Linked DNA regions of Arabidopsis thaliana. The protein of the gene in region 1 interacts with the protein of each later gene in a pairwise test. Each region holds a gene or a part of one and is shown on either strand. Other genes may lie near its edges.

Region 1 (4,015 bases):
ATTAGTTTTTCATTCTAAAATCCAAATGATGACCACTATTAGGCCTAATAGTCATTTCTTCAACCTGAAATAAAAAAGTATTGATTGACATGAAATGCTTGTAGGTTTCTAATTTATGTAGCATATATTTTTTCTATTTGTTTTTCTGATCAAATATCGTAGCATATATCATATTTCTCTGGATGTAATATAACATGTAATTTTTTCCATCGTATAATGGATAGTTGTCGTAAACTAAACTTTAATTTATGTTGTTCGTTACGTTATGGACTAAACCTTCTGATTCAATATCTAAGCAAATCGAAAGTAGTTTTCATGTTATCGTTTGTTTTTATGTGTGTGTAAATATATATATGGCTAATATTTGTATACTGCGAAATGTAGAAATGTACATATGTTATATATTTTCATGGATATAAACTTTCCTTGACATTACAGGAGATAGATATATAGATAGCCATTACAAATTCAAATTTGGATTGAGTGCACTTAATGCTAGTAACACTTATATCCAAAAAAACAAAAAAAATTGGCTACAAATTCTCAGGGAAACATTTATAAATAAAAGATAAAAAAATAATATAGTTGATATTAAAACCCAAAAAAAGAAAGAAAGAAAGAATATTTAGTAATATCATTATTTAAGAAAATGTAACAACCATTTTCCAAAACAATAAAAAACGATTATATATATATATATATATATATATATATATATATATATATATTATTGTAAATGAAAAAAATTGGTAGGAAGATTTGCTTTGTCTTAACTTGGGGCGATGAATATACTTTCATCGTTCATCAGGTACACGGTCGGTCCATGAAACCCGGAAAACCCAGTTGGAGACAGTTCTCTTCCTCAAACTCTTGATCCTATCATGACTGCTTTTTGAAATCACTCTTCTACTATCTGTTGACTCTACGTACTCTTTGAGCCTCTTCATCGCCAAATCAAGCGTATCTTCACTCATGTTGGCGAAACAAACCCTAAACCAACCCGGTTCAGTACAATGGCACGATGAACCAGGTGAAATATTCAGCTTGACGTCATATACAATCTTCTTCCATAGCTCAAGTTCTGCTTCGAATGTGTTTGTGTCCAAAAGATGTCTCATGTCAACCCAACAGAACAAACCAGCGTTGCTTTTAAGACAAGTAATCCCTGCAGCTTCTAGACCGGACACGAGTTTCTTCTGACGAATCTTGAGTCTTTTCTGGTTTTCGTCGAGGTATGTACTTGTGAACTTCTTGTCTGAAAGCAATGCAGAGAGAAGGTACTGTGTTTGAGAAGACACGAGACCGAAACTTGACATTTTTGTTGCAGCGGAAACAACCATTTCGTCGTTGGAGTAAATTGCTCCTACGCGAAAACCTGGTAAACCGAGATCTTTGGAAAGACTATAAACAATATGAACTCGTTTGGAGACTTCGCTGTTCTCGAGGTTCTTGTCTTTTAAGACATCCATGACACTTACAAACTGTTCAAACCCAAAAACGGTACCTGAATAGATCTCGTCGCTTATGAGATGAATGTTTTTGGAAGTAATGAAGTCAACGAGAAGGTTAAGTTCTCTTCTGGTCAACATTGTGCCAAGAGGGTTAGACGGGTTGGTAACAAGAACTCCTTTGACCTTAAGATCAAGCTTTTGAGCTTGTTGATAAGCTTGTTGAAGAGCTGACTCTGTTATTTGGAACCCATTAGAGCTTGAGCAATGAATAGGTACGATCTCTGCTCCCGTTCTCCATTTCAAGTCTCTATCGAATCTGTATGCATAAGCGAATCAAATACTATCAGCTCAGGTTTCTTGTGAGGCAAGTAATTAAATAAAAAAACCTAAAAAATTACCCTGGATAGTAAGGAGTTGGTAAAAGGAAAGCGTCCCCGGGTTCGGCGAGACAAAACATGAGAGTTTCGTTGGCAGATGTTGAACCAGCAGCTAGGACAATCTTGCTTGGATCAAATGTTACTCTATTTCCTCTGATTTCCTCCATAAACTCTGCCAAAGCCTATAGATAAATAAACCCTATTAAGTTAGTTACTCGCTTCTTGATCGAGTTACTTATGAAGGTGAAAAAAAATTAATTACTTACTTTCTTGAATTCGGGTAGGCCATGATAGTCTTGAAAGAGAGCAAGCTCTTTGAAAATGGATTGGCCGTCCTTTTTTAGTCCGGCTGCGTCCGGATTCTTAGCTAACCATGTCTCTATGAGATCAAAACATAGCTGCATGCATATTAAAAACATCGTATTAAACACCCAAAAATATACAATAATTAAAGATTGGTCGATTGGTCGAAAACTCGTAGTTATAGTTACCTGATTTTCGGCAAGACCCATTTGAATAATCCCATTAGGGTTCTTGATTTCGTCGTAAGGGTTCTTCTCGTATTCTTCCCATCCCAAGAAGTAGGAAGAGTCTTGTCCATGAGCATTGCTTGTCACTTTTCTCGACAGTTGTTTCATTTTTTGATATAAAAATCAAAAAGAATGTTTGGTTTATTGAAAGATGACTAATGAAGAATGGGAGAACGGTAAATGAGAGAGATATGTTGAATTAGGTTTTAGTTAGTTGGTGAAGACTGAAGAGTGAGATGTGGAATGTGGTTGCTTGTGGGAGCTATATATATATATACTTCCGTTTTTTACTTGACGTCACGTAGCTAGTAATTTATTAGTAATCATTTATCGTCAGTTAGTATATATTTTGCTAATCTTATACTACAAATCTAAAGAAAATCTCTCTTCCTATCTCTATATAAAGTTAAATTGAAAAAGACTCAACAATTATTTCAAATTTTGAAGTATGTGTGAAATTGGGTTAATTAAAAACAGAAGTAGACTAAAACGTTATAAAATTTTAGAGGAAGTAGAATAATATTGTTTAACCCTCACTATATATATTATTACACAAACACATGAGAGATATAAAGAAAACGATAATAATGATAATTGGATAGGTGAAGTAGAATAGAGAAAAGAGAAAGCTTGACACATAGTTAAACAAAACAAAATTAGTTTTGTCCATAAAACGCGTTTTCGGTCACCGCCCATACATACATGACAATGAATTAGCGACCAAAACAATACAAAATCTATTTTTAGATCGAATGTCATGATATTGTGTTGGGGATTTCACCAATTGTGTTTCGGGAGTTATCTGAGATGTTTATGATTATTACTGCGGTTATGCTTATAATACAAAACTAGTGGACATTAGAGATATTAAATCTGAAGAAAAAGTGGCCGCCAAATTGAAAATAAATAGTAAATTTTGATTGGGAGTTTTGGGAATTTGAATATCTCCGAAGCCAGTAAGACTAAGCTTAGAAAAAATTTTAAGATCCATTTCGGATTTGGACATTTAGATCCGAACTCGATAATTTCATGATCATGCCACTAGGGTTAATCAGACACAAGGTCCAAATTAAAAAAAAAAGTGTATTATTCACAATTTCTGGTTATGAATCTTTTGATTTAAAGATGTTATTGTTTCTAATTTACAATTTTTTTTTGACGATTTTAATAAAAGCATACAAAATAAAGAATAGAAAGATTCTAAATTATTGTTAGATCTAGAGAGTTTTCTATAATCTTGTTGATTAGTTTTCCACAATCTTATAAAGTTTTCCAAATAATCTTTCTATTTTAATGATATTTTTGATGACTTTATTTTGTAAAGGAAAATATCAAAAGTTATAAACTAATAACATAATAATTTAATTCATTAATAATCATAAATTCTTTTATTTTAATTGAATAACACAAAAATTTTATTGACTTTCTAAAAGTATGAATCAAATAACTGCATGAAAATTTTAGATCGCATTTTACAAATTTTAAACTAATACACTAGATTTTAATAAACTTTTAAAAAATTTTAACTGAATAACAACAGATTCTATATAACATTTAAATCACAAAAACTCTATTTAATTCGCACACAAATAACATCCCACTGTATATATCATCACGTGCTTGCCCAAAAAAATTAAAAAATAAACGAGCCCATAAT
Region 2 (7,031 bases), on another chromosome or scaffold:
GATTCCTTACACCGGAAGCTCGTATAACCCAAACGACGACGGAATACTCTCGGAGACATCTGGAAACATCATCATCGACTCTGGAACGACACTGACCCTCCTCGAAGCTGGTTTCTTTGACAAATTTAGCTCGGCGGTGGAGGAATCAGTGACCGGAGCCAAGCGCGTGAGTGATCCACAAGGGCTTTTGTCTCACTGTTTCAAATCCGGAAGTGCAGAGATCGGTTTGCCGGAGATAACGGTGCATTTCACGGGTGCAGATGTGAGGCTGAGTCCGATCAACGCATTCGTGAAACTGAGTGAAGACATGGTTTGCTTGAGTATGGTTCCGACCACCGAGGTTGCCATCTATGGGAACTTTGCTCAGATGGATTTCCTAGTTGGGTATGACTTGGAGACGAGGACGGTGTCGTTTCAACACATGGATTGCTCTGCGAATTTGTGATTTGACGGCGTCGTATCGAGCTTATTTTATATTGTCCATGATAATCATTTGTTTGTTATGGAGATGTAAAATCAGAATCAAAGCTTAAAAATTATCCTTGCTAGTAAAAATAATTACCTTCTTTCTATATTGATCTTCTCATCGATATTATATGATTGGTTTCAACTAGTTCCGAAGTACACAACATGTATAATAAAACTTAAGAAAGCAAACAAGAAAGTATTATGATAGAGAAATTATTCAGATTCTTAGGAACAGTGTTTCTACAATGGATGGTCATATACATTTTAATCTCATGATCAGATCAATTGAGGCGTGTCACCAATCTACCAATTCAAAGTAAAAAAAAAAAAAAAAAAAGGTACCGACTATGAATGGCTCGAGAACTTTGTACTGTAAAACTGAAAAGGAACTCTGAAAAGAGAAGGCAGACAGACTTTGTGAACGTGAGATCAATCGGAGCTGGAGTCGTAGAAGTCGCTGGGGCAAGGAGTCATAACTTCGGATTCAAGTAACTGGACGACTCTGTGCATTGTTGGCCGCTCATCTGGACTTGACGACACACACTTTGTTGCTATTGATAGAAGTGCGTCGAGACTCTCTCTCTCCACTCCTTCACAGCTTAGATCAACAATCTCCTTTGCCCGGTTTTCGCTGATTAAGAAGTTTAGCTGCAAGATTATAAAAAACAAAATTTAAGCTTTTACTAGTCAATATTATTATCTAAGCTGGATCTCGTTATGCTTACCCAACCAACAATGTTAAAGCCTTTCTCGATGAATGAGGCATCCGTGGGAAGTTTACCACTCAAGACTTCAAGAACCAAAACCCCGAAGCTGTAAACATCGGTTTTCTCAGTCGCTCTACCGCTTTGCATATACTCTGCAAAAAACACTCATTATGAGTTCACGGATTTAGGTCCTAACAGATAGTAACAACAAGTAATAAGCATTGTTATTACTGTGTAATTGAGTACCTGGAGCCAAGTAACCGAATGTGCCTGCAACAATGGTTGTAATATGAGATTCTTCGTCCTCTAACAACTTGGCAAGCCCAAAGTCTGATACCCGAGCCTCCAGATTTCCATCCAGTAAGATGTTGCTTGATTTTATATCACGGTGTATAATCCTAGGAGAACAATCATGATGCAAGTATGCCAACCCTTTTGCCGCTCCTATTATGATATTAACTCGCGAATCCCAATCCAGCTGCTCGCCTCTCTCTACACATTCAAAAATTTCACTTAATAGAATCATAATTCTCCGTTAAGGAAACCCGTAAATATGAAGTTGAGGGTTTACTATGTAGAGCTTCATCAAGGCTACCACCAGGAAGGTAATCATATAGCAGAAGCTTTGATGTGGGTGAATTGCAGTATCCACGTAGATTCACAAGGTAACGATGTTTGATGCTCCCAAGAATCTCAAGCTCCCTTTCAAAAAACCGATCAAAACCTTCATTTAACTTAACAATTCTTTTCAGCGCAAAAACATTGCCATCGTCCATAGACAGCTTGTACACTGTGCCAAAGCCTCCACAGCCTATTATGTGCTCTTCATTAAGAGATTCCAGTTTCTTGATAATGTCTTTGGAAGCGTAGGGCAAATCTCCATGGAACATCACTATAGACGCACCTGGATAGAAAAAATCGTCTCTTATGGTGTCAAGTTTTGAGAGAAAAATATAACTCTTAGAGAGAATATCTACAATATGAGTCAGCATGGCTCACCTCCACCGACATCTATCACAAGGCTTTTACTCTCAACTCTACCAAGCTTTTTATAGAGAAAGCATCCCCAGAAACACATGAGCGCCACTAGGAGCAGCCCACCCACAGTAGCTGAAGCACTTATAAGCAGCCTTTTAGGGTTATTACCTCCTTGGCCTATAACACGGGAGAAACCAAAAAGCAAACTCATTTCACGCCAAATACTACAGATTTCTCAAAAATTAAGTTATAATCCATATATCCTGACAAGAAATTGATTAAAACACAGTTGCTTTACCTGTTGGAGACCCAGAAGCTGTAGAATTTCCACTGTCATTGCACACAATATCGATTTGTTTTCCACACAAGTTACGATTTCCGTTGAAGCTGCAAGAGTGATTCAACAGTTTACGACTTGGTTATTTTCAGCTACACTGCTGCAAAGCTAGTAACAGGGTGCTATCGTACACAACGTCACAAAAAAAATTATAACTGCTTTGCCAGATCAACCGTAGAAAGATTTATCAACCATAATTTACAAAAATTTGGTTGGGGAAATGGGTATATATAAATTATACTTACGAGTCCCTCGAGAGTCTAGCGAGTAGGCCGTCAGAAGGTATTTTTCCCACCAGGAAATTGTTTGAGACATTGCTTCAAAAGAAGATCAACATAGTTAGTAACATTGACACTCATATATCTACAGGACTGCAAAATAAAATACGCAAGTTAGAGATTAGCAACTCACAATTTAGTAAGCCTTTTCAACTGCCCAAGTGAAGCAGGGATAGCTCCATTGAGATTGTTGTTTGAGAGGTCCCTTCATAAATGAGAGTCAAAAATCATAGTAGTTCAGAAGAATGTAGATGATATGCCCATTTAATATGAAAGAAGCCTAGCATAGATTTACAATTCTCATCATCATATTTGAGAGTTTTTCACCCGGAAAAAATAACACAATACGTGATTAAATATAAGTTATGTCAAACTCCCTATAATTTTTAGGGTTCACCACGACTGTAGAAATAAGTACTTTCGAAAACATTATGTTGTTGCTGCATGGAAGATCAGAAGAACCTCTTGTAGTTCACAATATAATTATAGAGGATACTAAATGGTGAGAGTAGATAGCAGAACAACAAATAGCAGATCCTAGAGAGGCTAAGAAAACAAATCCACTTGGAAGAACGAGGAAAAAAACCACGTACAGGTTTTTCAGCCCGGACAGGTTTCCTATTTCACTTGGGATTGTCCCAGTGATGTAATTATTCTGCAAGTATCTGCAAGGAATAAAAGGACAATAAATTATAAAAGATTCACAACGATTCTTGTCAACTAGCTAAACTTGTGACTGAGTTTATCATCACTCACAAGACGCATCAATATTATGCACCAACTATATAGAAGCAAATAAAGAAAAACACTAGTAATTGTTAGGAAATAATATAAAATTTGGAAAAACAAAACGAGAATTCGATCAGCAATGAAGTGTAATCACACTAATCAGCATAAGTATTTGGGAAAGCCCTTACATTCCCTCTAATGCCGTGCAATTTCCCAATGAGGCAGGTATTGATTGATATAACGCATTGTTGTGAAGCATTCTGCAATGACATGGGAATACACATACAATGAGTAGTAGAGCATATGCTAGACATCAATAATATTAATTAAAAGGTTAGGAGCACATACAAAAGCCTTAACTGATCCAGCTTTCCAAGCTCAGGGGGTAAAGGTCCCCTTAATTTGTGATAAGTAAGACTCCTGCACACAAGAAACTTCAGGAACCGACAAAAGATGCACCACATACTGAAGAAAAAAAAAGAATTTAAACTAAAGAAATTTTAAACTTACAAGGCTATAACTCTTTTTGTTTTTGCATCACAGGTCACTCCTTTCCAGTTACATGGATCAGGATCCTCTGGTCTCCACAGACCAATAACACCATCAGAAGCCAAAACTCCATTTCTAAAACTCAAAAGCGCCTCACCTGGAGAAAAAAAGGATTTAATCCCTTCAGCAATCTGGGCGGAGTAAATGGTGATCATGACTTGTCAAAGACAAAATATAGAAGAGATTAAAGACACATATCGCTGTATACCATCAGGACTAATTGCTTCATTTTCATTCGTTAGTGCAGAGAGAAACGAGATCAAAAGAAACCATGAGCAGCAGCGCTTCATTAGACAGATGCCCATTATGGCACCGTTCAAGCATAATATAGCTACTGCCAATCATCTGAAAGAACAGCCTCCGGAATGCAACACTCGTAGCATATACTCAGCTGCTCCGTGACGCCCAGTCTATCTTCAAGAAACAAAAAGAGACTCCTGAAGTTAAATAAAATAATGTCATTAGACCGTACAACAATAACAGCTGACCCTCATTTGAAACTCTATCAAGCCTCGATCTTCCAATAATCAGACAACCAAATCCTCAATTACAAATCAAGCGTTCCACAACATCGATGCACAACATTTGCATGGTCTCATTAACAATTACAGCACCCAGAACAGTGAGATTATCTAATCGGATCAAATCCACCTCCCAAATTTGCAAAATCAGAAATCGAACCTTCAGAATAAAACCCCAACTCATTATTTAAAGAGGAGCTCGGATAGCTAAAATCGAACTTAAATCACGAAATTCGGAGGACATCATTGCAATCACAGCACAAGAAGAACTGAAGAGTCAACAAAACCATTCAATAATCTAAAAAAACGAAATCGATTCGCCGATAACTCAGACCAAAATCTCACTTCCCCCAAAAAAATGGCGAAAGAGAATGGGAATTTACACGAACCTCAAAATGGATCCGCGAGGAGGAAGATGAAGATGAAGAATAAGACAGAGGAAGAAGACGCAATTGAGCTGTAAAGCAATGTCTTAACTAACAACTTTTTTTTTTTTGTTGTTGTTGTGATTTATGAGAGAGTGAAGAGAGAGAAAGTAGAGTGTGCAGTGGAAATGTGAGATACTTTGGAGAAGGAATCGGCTAGTTACGAGTTTACGACCAATGAGAGAGGAGAAGTGGAGACCACACGTGCCGATCATGACTTATTACACGTGTCGACCGACGCATTGTATAATGCCAGAACTGGACAAGGGCTTGTTGGGTCAGTTAAAACATCGTTATTGCGTGGGCCTACTAAAGCCCATTGTTATTTATTTGGAAGCGTACTGTACTTTACTATCTTTAGGGACAATTCTTGTATTTTCAGCTTTAGCGGATCTTATTCACCTAAATCAAACAAACAAGTGTACTTAAAAATGGAACAAACAATGGACTGATAATCATTATTTCATTTGCTTTTATAATAGAAATCAAAATATTAATATTGGATTCAATCTTTCCACGTAACTTCTTGTTTTGGTAATTTCATCTATGATTCTTATAAATTTGGTACCATTGTAAAAATATGGCTTAAATTTGAGTTGTTGTTTCATGTGTTAGCAGTAGACAAGAAAAGATATCTGGAGATAGAGAGTTACATCACCTAAGACATGAGGATGGAGATGGAAAAGGTGTAAGGTGTGGTGTGGCTTAAATATTCTTGTACTAATTATCAATCAAAGTTTGTTTGAAATTTGAGTATTTGTATTCTGAATTTGAATTAGATATTTCAAATATATTAAAATCCAAAGCGAAATCAGATCCTAGCATAAATATTTAGGATATTAAAATAATAAATTTTAACTAGTTTTTAAATCATAAAATACACAATGTTTTTGAACTTCCATAATCAAACTAATAAATCCATTTTGGTTTACGTGTCTAGTTTTATAGAAAATGACTATTTATTTGTATTTTATAGAAGAAAAGATAATCCAATAAGTAAGTAATAATAACTCATGATTTTGTTGATTTTTTAAAATAAATATTTTTATAACTAAAAATGAGTTATTCATTTCAAAATATTACTTTATTTTCTTAGAAATTAATAGATTGTTAATGTAAATATATTTTGAAAATATTTACAGAACCAACAATAGGAAAATTCAGTACTGTTAATCATTTCCTAAAATAGTTTGAAAATGCCGATCTCTCCACGTGGAGAAAGCAAAAGAAAAACGCTCGTTTTAAGATTTGAAATAATCGCGCGTGTAAACATTTCCAATCAAAACGCGCGTGAAGGGTTTTTAACAAAAAAATTACACCACCGATTTAAACGTAGAAACCAAAATTCCCCCACTCTCTCTCTCTCATTACGCTCCACCCTACTCTTCTTTTTTGTCCTTCTCTCTCTCTCTCTTGCCGGCACTAACAACACGAAGAAATTTTTTTGAAAAGAGAGAGAAAGTTTCCAAGAGACCGTACGAAGAAAAAAAAAACTTGGTATAGATCGATAAGATCGATACCGTCGGAGAGATAATTTCGTGGAGTAATGTCGACGGAGGATGAGAAGTTATTGAAGGAGGCGAAAAAACTTCCTTGGGAGGATCGGCTTGGGCATAAGAATTGGAAAGTTAGGAACGAAGCTAACGTCGATTTAGCTTCTGTTTTTGATTCGATTACTGATCCTAAGGACCCTCGTCTTCGCGATTTTGGTGAGTTTCTCTACCTCGTTTTTTTATTATTATTATGTTAGGGTTTTTGTTTTTGAAGCTCAGATCTGATTAGGGTGGTTTATATCGGTGTGGATCTGTTTTGAATTTGGATTGTTGAGTGGGAATGTGATTGGTCTAGGGTTCCATTTTGCTTTACTTTTGATTGAATTTCTGATTATTATTTTTTATTCGCAGGTCACTTGTTTAGGAAGACGGTGGCAGATTCTAATGCGCCGGTGCAAGAGAAAGCGCTTGATGCATTGATTGCGTTTTTGCGAGCAGCCGATTCAGATGCTGGAAGGTATGGTGTTGTTTATTTTTATTGCTTTA

The links.
Region 2: the proteins of ACS9 (region 1) and FEI2 interact in a two-hybrid assay, tested with the Arabidopsis thaliana proteins (one study listed by BioGRID).

Annotation. Positions count from the first base shown.
Region 1 is NC_003074.8:18,433,676-18,437,690, forward strand, and holds ACS9 (1-aminocyclopropane-1-carboxylate synthase 9), read right to left. Parts: upstream 2,467-4,015; coding exon 2,320-2,466; intron 2,227-2,319; coding exon 2,095-2,226; intron 2,011-2,094; coding exon 1,850-2,010; intron 1,768-1,849; coding exon 795-1,767; 3' UTR 774-794; downstream 1-773. UniProt on the Arabidopsis thaliana protein: 1-aminocyclopropane-1-carboxylate synthase (ACS) enzymes catalyze the conversion of S-adenosyl-L-methionine (SAM) into 1-aminocyclopropane-1-carboxylate (ACC), a direct precursor of ethylene.
Region 2 is NC_003071.7:14,960,290-14,967,320, forward strand, and holds FEI2 (Leucine-rich repeat protein kinase family protein), read right to left. Parts: upstream 5,150-7,031; 5' UTR 4,957-5,149; exon of another isoform or gene 4,728-4,956; intron 4,484-4,727; 5' UTR 4,352-4,483; coding exon 4,255-4,351; intron 4,144-4,254; coding exon 4,008-4,143; intron 3,918-4,007; coding exon 3,846-3,917; intron 3,758-3,845; coding exon 3,686-3,757; intron 3,434-3,685; coding exon 3,362-3,433; intron 2,974-3,361; coding exon 2,902-2,973; intron 2,808-2,901; coding exon 2,736-2,807; intron 2,541-2,735; coding exon 2,452-2,540; intron 2,331-2,451; coding exon 2,175-2,330; intron 2,080-2,174; coding exon 1,747-2,079; intron 1,668-1,746; coding exon 1,422-1,667; intron 1,328-1,421; coding exon 1,194-1,327; intron 1,117-1,193; coding exon 898-1,116; 3' UTR 562-897; downstream 1-561. Other genes in the region: AT2G35615 (Eukaryotic aspartyl protease family protein), read left to right, coding at 1-445; MOR1 (ARM repeat superfamily protein), read left to right, coding at 6,539-6,701, 6,897-7,002. UniProt on the Arabidopsis thaliana protein: Involved in the signaling pathway that regulates cell wall function, including cellulose biosynthesis, likely via an 1-aminocyclopropane-1-carboxylic acid (ACC)-mediated signal (a precursor of ethylene).